2 separate regions of the Mus musculus genome follow, and region 2 is reported to be linked to region 1. The links are microRNA targets in miRTarBase. Many come from high-throughput screens and were not tested one by one. Region 1 holds a microRNA gene; the other region holds the end of a gene's coding sequence.
What was found. The annotated mature microRNA mmu-miR-3070-2-3p reads UGGUGCUAUGGUCAGGGGUAGA and lies in region 1 at 2,036-2,057, shown strand. An mRNA with a match to its seed (bases 2 to 7 or 8) in the 3' UTR can be bound and repressed. Matches are read on the target gene's strand: a 7mer-m8 pairs with bases 2 to 8, a 7mer-A1 pairs with bases 2 to 7 and ends in A, and an 8mer does both.

Region 2: miRTarBase lists Mtcl1 as a target of mmu-miR-3070-2-3p. Seed matches in the 3' UTR shown: 7mer-A1 at 3,491-3,497.

The regions. Positions count from the first base shown.
Region 1 is chr12:109,586,613-109,591,685 of GRCm38, forward strand. Mir3070b (microRNA 3070b) reads left to right here and starts at 1,980; the gene lies at 1,980-2,068. It overlaps Rtl1 (retrotransposon Gaglike 1), which reads right to left. Exons shown (of 2, transcript NM_184109.2): 2 at 2,581-5,073. The coding sequence ends at 3,557. Mir3070a (microRNA 3070a) reads left to right here and starts at 1,331; the gene lies at 1,331-1,419. It overlaps Mir431 (microRNA 431), which reads left to right and starts at 3,835; the gene lies at 3,835-3,925. It also overlaps 6430411K18Rik.
Region 2 is chr17:66,333,594-66,338,666 of GRCm38, forward strand. Mtcl1 (microtubule crosslinking factor 1) reads right to left here. Exons shown (of 14, transcript NM_172963.4): 14 at 3,389-4,561. The coding sequence ends at 4,367. Among named protein-coding and RNA genes, the nearest start is that of Mtcl1, 110 kb to the right of the region's middle.

The DNA.
Region 1 (5,073 bases):
CACCATTATTAACTGCATTTACCAGCTATGGCAGCCAGCCCCGGCACACAGGAGCACCCTGAGTGAATAGCCTGGAAGCTGTGAAAGGATTTGAGGGCAGGACAGGGAGGACCCAGGCCACACCCAGTCCCCCTCCCCTTCACCACTGTCTCTCCCTTCCCTGTCCCCCCCTCTGCCCCCAATCTCCTTCTTCCTACTTGTGCTCCTGCACGGTCTTGGTGGCAAGATGGTCATGCGTGTCTCTCAGCTCACACAGGTGGATCAAAGTCCAGATGAGGTTTGCTGCTCAGGTCTCAGATCGTGTCTAACGATGTGGTCCCCTGGGCCCAGCACCAGGGCTTAAGGTGTATGGGACAGTTGAGGGGTGGGTAATATTTTCTTTTCCTTTTCTTACTATGGGGGTAGCCCAAGTTAGCCCAGGTTACCCAGGCATGTGGAGATCTCTGCTCCAGCCTGGTGAGGAGCTGGTAAAACTCTGGACTCAGGGTCCTGTGTGTGTGCTGTCACTGGCTCTGGTACCTGCAGGGACATCTTATAAGGGGAAGCAATGGAGAGGACAGGGAAGGTGGGCAAGGGAGGGCCCCTGCTCCTCTTTGTTCCTGGATGCTGTCAGAGCTCTCTGGTTGGGGACTGAAGCTGGGAAGTGGGGGCAGCTCCTTGGTGGGTGGAGTCTGCAGCCAGGGCCTGGCCTCTGGTTTTCACCTTGACAGGGTTGGAAGTGATGTTATCATCCCCTAGCAGGAACTTTCACACCAATTTCTTTCTTTTCTTTTCTCTTCCCCAGGAGAAAAAAAAAGGTTTGTGTTGTGTTTTTCAATCTCTATAAGTGGCTCCGCCGATAACCTGATAACCTACCGTTTTAGCACGTTTTAGCACGTCACCAGCTCTCTTCACAGTCCGGACCACCTCCTTTTGCTGTTAATGGGGACAAATCCCTGCTGGGTAGATTGGTAGGCCTGCGGGCCTTTATTGTCCTTTATGGTCTGTGTTCGTGCGGGCTGTGGGTAAACGCACCTCTGCAGTCAACATCACTGGCAGCCTCTTGGCGGGCTGCTGGCTCACTGAGTTCTCCTTCACTCTCACTTGCTTGGGGCCCTCAGGGCCTTGGGGCCCCTGGCAGTAGTCCTGACCTAAGTCATCTCTGCATTCACTGGGCCAGAGAAGTCCTCACCAAGCAGGGACAGGATTGTTTTGTTTTGTTTTGAGGCCCAGTTTTGTTGGAGGTGCCCAGGTAAACTAAGTGAGGGTACAGGACTGGTACGTTTGTTCTCCTCCAATAGGACCCCAGTCCCACCTTAAGGTTATGGACGCTCCTTAGGAACAGGAGGAAGTGCTGAGTGAGGCTGAGCCCCTGACCTTGAACCTGGGATCCTATCCATGATCTCCTGGTGCTACCGTCAGGGGTAGATTCCTTGTCATGAGGCCCCTTAGGACCCATAAGGACACAGTGACCCCAGTGCAGGCTGGAGGGGGCGTGGAGGGATGCAATCTTGCGTTCTAAGTAGGGTTTTTCTGGGACCCAAGCTTATAGATCCTGTATAGATGGGATCAAAGAGCTGAAAGCAGGTAGGGGGAGGTGTCATGCTGGGTATCCAGGGGTCTGACACATTCTCAGGCCAAAGAGGGCCCCTTGAGGTTAACTCAGGGGTACATTTCCAGGCAAGATATAAAGGGCAGAGTTAAGAAAGGGCCCTTGGGCGTGAGGGCCCTGCTCATTGCACCTGCCCACTATCTTTGAGGTCACAGTGGGAGGGGGCCCTTGTTTTTATACTCCTAGCTTGTGTGCAGATTTTCTGGGTAGGAAGTATAGAGTTTGTGAGTAAGGGACTATTTGCTCAATTTCCCTCTACCCCTAGGAGCTCCTTCCCCATCCCAGAGTATCCCTCAAGATAGCTTTTTTTAAGGCAAGGATCTCAGGGGCCAACTGTGGGAATGGTTCCAGTGGGGGGCCACTGGAGCCTCCTTAGCAACAGGAGGAAGTGCTGAGTGAGGCTGAGCCCCTGACCTTGAACCTGGGATCCTCCCCATGATCTTCTGGTGCTATGGTCAGGGGTAGATTCCTTGTCATGAGGCCCCTTAGGACCCATAAGGGCACAGTGACCCCAGTGCAGGCTGGAGGGGGCGTGGAGGGATGCAGTCTTGGGTTCTAAGAACTGTTTTTCTGGGATCCAAGCTCAAACATCCTGCCTGTTGACCCTCCTCAGCTGTGGGCATTGAGCACAGTCTGGCCATTCCTCATTTCTCATGTGACTAGAGGGCTGGGACCAGATGAGGGCTGGGAATTCTGGGTACCCTCCTTCTGCCCCATGAAACCCTTGGTCCATTTCCCAGAGGAGCCCAAAGTTTTGAGAGTGAATTGACTTCCCTCCCTTTAGGAGAAGACAGGAGGCCTGTTGCTCCATGTCTTCATGAGCTGTTTCTGGAGAGTCAAGCCCTCCTATCCCTGCCCCTCCCACCCTTGCCCTTGCCCATCCCAACCCTCTCTTCACACTCCATCCTTTCTGACCCCATGCTCCATGTTCTCCAGTCCTGCCTCCTACTATCCACCCTCTCCCTTTTAGAACAAACCACAAAGTCAGATAATCTTTTCTTCTCTTTATTCATGGGGCAAAAGCAGGTATGAGTTGGGAAAGCAATGGAAGGACCTCTCCTTCCTGTGGCAGTGAGCAGTGGGTCTGGTCAGAGCACTCTTGGCTCCTTGGCACAGTACTCTGGGTATCTGGGGCTTCACCAGTGTCTCTTGGGGGCTCCCTCCTTTATGGAAGGTCTCTGTCCCCTGCACTGTCCATATGTCCATTTGGGGAGGGAAAAGGGAGCCCCACTTGGTTGCTACCACCCTTTCTTGGGTCCTCTGAGTCTCAGGGACCTTCAGGGTGGATCAGTCCATCTGGTAAGTCACACTGGTACGTCGAATGCTCCTTGGAGCAGTTCTGCCCAGGTAAGATCAGAGTTCAGGGTCAGATGAGGTGTCAATGGAGCCGGACCAGACCGGTAGTGGGTGGGTGGGTTGTGGGGGGGGGGGTGGACTTGCTTGCAGGGTGGGCTGGGGTTGTGGAAAGCATGGAACCACAGCACCTTGGGAGACTGGGAGGGAGTAGGGGCGTGTCCAGGGGAGTCGGAGCACCGGTGTAGAGGTAGAAGTCCGTGGAGCACCCAAGGTCAGTGTCCCAGGATGCACAGGTGGCCGCCTGCCACTCAGGGGGTGGTGGTGGGGTCACTGGCATCTGCTTGCTTGGCTGCACCTGCTGTATCTGCTCTGCATCTGGCCTGGGGTGACGGGGTCACTGTTGCTCATCACTGCTCTCTCCTCATTGGTCTCACTCCCTTTTGTGGGCCTGGGGCCCGGACAGTTAGGACAGTTAGGGTTACACAGTCTTGGCTGGTTCTGGGACGCTGATAGTTGGCTAGTTCTTTAGCACAGATGATGTTGCTGGTTGATGAAGTTGTGGCCCTTCACAAGTGGGTTCCCCTTGGGTTAGGAGTAGCAAGAGGGTGTGCTGGATCTGAGCGAAGCTGGCCGAGGCACAAGGGAAAATGACAGTGACTTGGTGTGTTTTCAGTCAAGTTCATCATCTGAGTCTGATAGCTCTTCTAGCCTTGCCTGTTCCCTGGCTGGGGAAGGCAGCGCCATTCTGGAGGCCATGGCCAGGAATCGTGTGAGGGCCTGGGCCACCTGATCTCTGCTAAGCAGAGTAAGGCGGCCATCGGTGCCCAGGGTGTAGAGTAGCCGGTTGTTGAGGAAATCTAGGACCTCTGGGTCCAAAAGATTTCGTGGTCTGAAGGTGACCGCTTCCTGGTCGCCAAACAGGTCCTCTTGCACGTCGTTGTCCTGCGCGTCCTGCGAGGTGTCTTGCAGGCCGTCATGCAGGCCACACTGACGGTAACGTTGCAGGTCGTCTTGCAGGGCTTCTCGCAAGACGACATCTTCATCCCCAACGACGTGCAGTTCCAAGTACCGGTGCTGGTAAGGGTCAGGAAAGACGTCATCCTCAGGGTTGACTCTGACCCCAAAGAACTCACACAGGGTCAACCAGAACCCAGGGGTGAAGCGCATCCCCCGTGGAGGCTGGGAATGCAGAGCATTCCGATGCCAGCACCTTGGGCCCAGGAAAAGCTCAGCCAGCTCTCGAGCTGGGAGGGTGTTGGCACCCACTAGAGGGGGCATCTGGCTGAGCAACTGAGCGATGGCTGTGGCCATGCCACTACTCGCAATGAGGGTCGAGTCCAGGATGAGTCGGAGTGTGTGCCGGTGCTGAGGCCTGGCCACTTCCAAATTAGGGGCAGGCACTGGGGAGAGGGGCTGCCTTGCTCTCAACATCACCAGGACAGCTGCCACACCCAGGAGACTCTTCCAGTAGAGCAGGCCACGGAAGAAGTTTAGGACAACGGCCCGGATCTGGGCCACACTGAAGTGAGCCAGTAAGCCATTGAGGATATGGTCCATCGGGATGGCAGCCAGTAGCTCCCGCACCATGCTGGGCACCTCCTCATCTTCTTCCTCCTCATCCTCTTCTTCCTCATCTTCCTCCTCCTCTTCTTCCTCCTCTTCCTCCTCCTCCTCTTCTTCCTCCTCTTCTTCCTCCTCTTCCTCTTCCTCCTCCTCTTCCTCCTCATCCTCTTCTTCCTCCTCTTCCTCCTCTCCTTCTTCCTCCTCCTCTCCCTCCTCCTCCCCTTCTTCTTCTTCACCATCTTCCTCCTCCTCCCCTTCTTCTTCTTCACCATCTTCCTCCTCCTCCCCTTCTTCTTCTTCACCATCTTCCTCCTCCTCCCCTTCTTCTTCTTCATCATCTTCCTCCTCCTCCTCTTCTTCTTCACCATCTTCCTCCTCCTCCCCTTCTTCTTCTTCACCATCTTCCTCCTCCTCCCCTTCTTCTTCTTCACCATCTTCCTCCTCCTCTTCTTCATCATCCTCTTTATCCTCAGTCTCAGAGGATCTGTCAAAGTACCTTAGATTTGCCCTAATGGACATAAGCAGCAGTGGGCGCAGAAACCTTGCTCTGAAGCCTCTCTGGTTCCAACATCTGCGGAAGAGTGCTTGTGTGTCACCTTCAGCTGGCATCTCCATAACACCAA
Region 2 (5,073 bases), not on the chromosome of region 1:
AAGTCTTTGCTGAAGGTTAGTAGTTTGCTATAAAATCACGGAACAAATCTTTTCGGTGAGATAGGTCATCCTAGTCCCACAAGAACTAGGCTAAGGAAATCAGGTCAAGATTCCATCATTTCCATTCCATTCAGATGTATTGTGCAGCACTGATAACTGGGCCACCGAAGCTCTCTCCAGTCAGGCCTACATCCAGAGACCTCAGCTCTCCCCTTACAGAACGGTAAGACAGACACACAGACAAACACACAGACAGACAGACACTTTTGCTGAAGTATCAATGTCCAATGATTGCTTACAAGTGCCTATCCTTAAAGAAACCCAGCACAAAGCTCCGAGGACCTAGCTGCATAAGGGAGAGACTTTGAGAGGAACAAGCTCTTTAGCTGCCAGGCCTAGGAGGCTACAGGAGAATAAATAAGGGCTTTTAACAGAACAGCTAGGGGTGGCTCTTGGGTTCCTAGCGAGTGTGTAGTTCTTGGCAGTGAACCCCACTGCTGCCTTGTTCTTTTGTGAGCCTTGAGCTTGGGAGCCCCACCCCTACCCCACACCTCTCCCTCCTTTGGTGGTTCCAGCTTGGAGATGTGCATGCACACACACACTGGAGCTCCTCTGATCAGTCTGCCCAAAGCCTTTGTTTTCCCACCTAGAAAACCCAAACCCTTCCCCGTGGGCCCCTGGGGCTCCCCACGACCCCTTGATTTCTCCTCGGCTCTTCTCCAGAGCTCTCTACCCCTCCCTCTAGCCATGGCGACCCCCACTTCCTGCAACAAAGGATGTTTCACAGTGACAGCACTTTGATTAGATTCCCACCCCACTCCTACCCCAACTACATGCAAAGAGCACCTGGGGAGCCCTCTTAGTCGTCATGAACCAGCTCCCCACAGCAGAATTAATTTATACCTTTTTCCCTTGTAAGAGACTTGAGCCATTTTCCTTTCCTAATGTCTAAAACCTGGAAAGTGGTTTCCTTTGAAACTCAGAGACCCGAATGAACCTCAGCTTACCTGCTGTCACTGGTCTTGGATGTCATTTAAGGCATTGATAAGGTCATCTGGGCTACACGGAGAGATGTTCAGGGGCTCTTGCTGAAAGGGGGCGGGGGAGTTACTGCGTGAGCTGGAAATGGTGATTTGCTTGACATAGTGTGACATTCATTATGCATAGCAAAACATTAAATACATTTAATAAAAATTTAAGAGATTAAATATCTGCAGATCTCCTAAGTCATTTTATAGACAAGGGTAAAGAAAAATAATTAGAATTATGTACACATATATTAAAAACTAGATGCACACACTGAAAACCTTAACATAGCATGTTACCTCCTGGAACAAGTATACAGCCATCCACTGTGGTTTGCTGAGGTCTCCAGGCTGCTGGAGCTGCCGTCCCCCACTGGGCAGGGCATGCTGGTGGGTGAGTCTTGTTCCCTGGGTCTCAGGAATCTGCCACATCTTTCTTTAGGCCAGGAGAGCAGCTGGTGCATGAATAATGACGGGTGGAGATGCTTCTCTTGGACCCTTCCCTGCAGACAGCTGCTCTGCCTTCACAGTGGACCCCAAATCCACAGAACTGCCTCAGCACCCGTTTGGACTGACCAGCGGGAAATGACAGTCTTGCCTTTTAAAGTCTGAGTGACTCCATGATAGTATTTGGAGGTTCCAGATGGCTTTGTTCATGAACTCTGCAACTAGCCAGCTACCTGATGGGGCTGTTCTTATGAAATCTCTCCGTCATTGACACTGGAATGACGCTTACACTGTCTGCACCAATTGGGAACTTTACCTTGTCCAACCAATTTTCTGGTGACCAGATCTTGTTTCTGTAACTTTGGGGTTGTCCTTTAGCAACTCGAAGCCCATGCTGCCTTCCCGGCATCCTCTTTCCCTTATTCTAACAGTTCCAATGCATTTTCTGGGCCAGCCTGTCAACAGTATTGGCTCAGGTAGCTTTGGAACAACACCATGATATGACTTATTCCAAAGCGATAAGGAGCATCGAATTTGACGAAACCTTGGTGAGAATGTCTTTCTCTAGGATTCCCAAACTAACAAGGGGATGGGCACCATCAGCACCAATACCTAGGATGCTTGTCTCAGAGTAAGGATCTAGAGGACACAGACTTGGAGACAGCAGTTCCAACTCATGCTGTGAGCATCCCAGCCCCTCCTTGCTGGCTCCCGCTGTGCTGCTCTGCACCTGTCAGCAGTGCTTTCTGTCTTTAAGACTAGGGACTGAGCCCAAAGCTTCAAACACTCTAGGAACGGCCATGGCGCCGGACCCCAGCTCCCTCCCACGAACCACCGATCCGCTGAGAAGTTCTTTGTGGCTTTATCTAGTGTGGCTATGTGAAAATTTTTATTTTCTACATTAAAAAGGTTTGATTGTGGTAAAGTGTCCAAGAGCTTTCCTGTGCTAGCCCTTTTAAAGTGTTAATTCGGTGGCATCAAGTGTCTCTTGATGCGGGACAGCCATGACTTTTACTTCCGGGATCTTTGCTTCATGATAAACTGAAGCTGTGCTACCATCTCATGCCAACTCCCTTGTCTCTTGCCTTCAACTCCTGGTCACCACTACTTCAATTTGTCTCTACAAATGACTGGGTTAGTAAATGTCACAGGAGTGGAAATCATAGCTTTTTATGACTGATATAGCTCATCTACTAGGTCTTCAAGGTTCTCCCACATTGAAGAGAGTACCACACATCCTGTTTCCTTACTGCTAGCTAATATTCTACAGTGTGTACACATTTTGTTTCTCCACTCCTTTGTGGGTGGCCATGTATGCTGTTTCTATTTTTGATTTTTCTATGTAACACTGCTGTGAAAAGTATCTATATGAGTCTTATTTCAACTCAGAAGCTCCGTGTATCCAAGTTGGGAATAGATGACTACATAGTAACTGTTGGTTGGATAAAGGAATGTTAGGGTGTCTTCCACAGTGGCTGCACGGCTTAATGTCTCTACCAATATGACATCAAGACTGCAACTGCTCATCTCCTCACTAACACTTGTCCTGAGGCCATTTAAGGAGGAACTACACAATCCTGGGAAGAGGCCTTATTACCTCATCTGAAAAAGAAGGGAACGGTTGGGTTAATGAAACTTGAAAGCCAGAAACTCTGGTCCTTCAAAAACAGTTCTGTGCTCCCCCACAGTCTCTTTGGAACCCCAACCTACAACACCAACACGCTGGGCTGCAAAATCTGCACGGAGACAGAGTGATGCCTAGCGCTGCTGTGTCCCTCTTTCCTAGTGTGTGCAGCTCTTCCTTTAAGTCCCCTGCACTCTGTCCGCTACAGGAAAACCCAGAGACACTTTCCATTTAGAGCTGAAGAAGACAAGGGAGAAGAAGGAGCCAGCAATAAACGGTGACACCAAGACCCTGTTGCTTTCTTGTAAGGACTTTATTTCCATGTCACCGTGGTCTCAGGCAGACCTGAGGCACCTTTGTCTGTCTCGGTTTGGCCTCCTTATTTTTTTTTTTATGGTGCTTTTCCTTAAACAAGAAAAATGTCAAGTGAGATTTGTACACCATCAGTTAATGTTTTAACAATAATTAAAAAAAATGGAGCCATTGTCTTACTGGTACAAGAGACCAACAGCAACAGTACACACGGTACAAGGAACTTCACAACAAGTTACAGTAGACCAGACTGACACACACGCAGGTGAGGGCAGGGACAGAGCAGTGTATGTACAGGTGCCCGAGGACGTGCGGTCAGGCTGGGCAGATGGGTCACGCAGAGTCTTAAGTCTATCTGAAGGGCTCCGTACCTTTTCAGCAAGGTTGGCCTGCATCCTTTCAGATGACAGACACTCTCGTCTTCTGGCCTCACGGCCTTATCATTACAAAAAGTTCACTGAGTTAAGACAGTCTAAAGCGTTAAGAAAGACTCCTGAAAAATTAAGACTGGACAAAATAAAATTTAACTTAGAACACTCCGAACTCAACATGGAGAAACCCAACCAGAACGGAACAGTGCAAATTCAACAGGCAGGCAGAACTGAGAACAAGGGTGCTCGGAATCTCTTCAAATGTACATTTTAAAACTCTTTAAATCTATTTATACCTTATTTACCTTTTTTGTTTAATATATCATGTGTAAAAAAGATGGGAGACAAAAATAGTTTTCTGAGCTATGAAAAAATGATTACAGGCACGTTTACTGTTTCATTCCCGAAACATCTCAGTTTACCAGGTTGAACATTCAGTAGCCGTGTGTTTTTAAAAGCATCCTTCGACCTTGAGAAAGGATCTACATCTTTCCTTTGGGATGGAGGTTGGCTGATGGCGGTGATGGTCTGGTTATGCAAATTACAGTGAACTATTCCGGCGATCATCCACGCAAGCTTGCATCCTGTCACAGGTGTGGCTTCTCCTCTGGTGGGTCCTCCTCACCGTGTTCCTCCATGGACATCGGGTGTCCGGGTGACTGTGACTGTGAGGCAGTGGGGGAAGGTGGGGCCCAACGGGATGGAAGGCGGCGGTTTGCTGGTCTCTCTGGCCTGGAAAAGCAGGGCTCTAGGGAGGGCGCGAGCGCAGAACAAGGCAGTTCCTTCAGAGCCGAGAGAGGGAGACAGTGTTACTCAGATCTGCAGTGTCATGTGGGCCACAGTCCCAACATACTCCAAACACACTGAAGTCAAATGAAACAAACCAGGCAGCTTCAGCATCTGAATGAATGATTTACAGCATGCATGGAGTAACTTAAAATGATAGGTTAAACACTCCACATGAATGATTAGTGATGTGACCTGTTAACGAGGTGACAGAACACAGCAACACGGTGACACGGGGCTGCTTTGTAGGGCATCTCCAGAACTGGGCTGGAACACAGAAGTAACAACTGGGGACACCTTGTCCCCGGCTCACCCTTGAGCCTCTTGAAGGATCCTTTGAGCTACTGAGCTGGTCTCAAGGGATCTCAGGCTACTGAGGTCCACAGTGACCTAGGGTTACATCCACAGTGACCTAGGGTTACATCCAGCCGTAGTAGCAAAGGAATTCAAACAGAACTCTGTTTATTCCAAGCTGATTGTCGGCAGGCTAAACAAACTCCCACAAGTT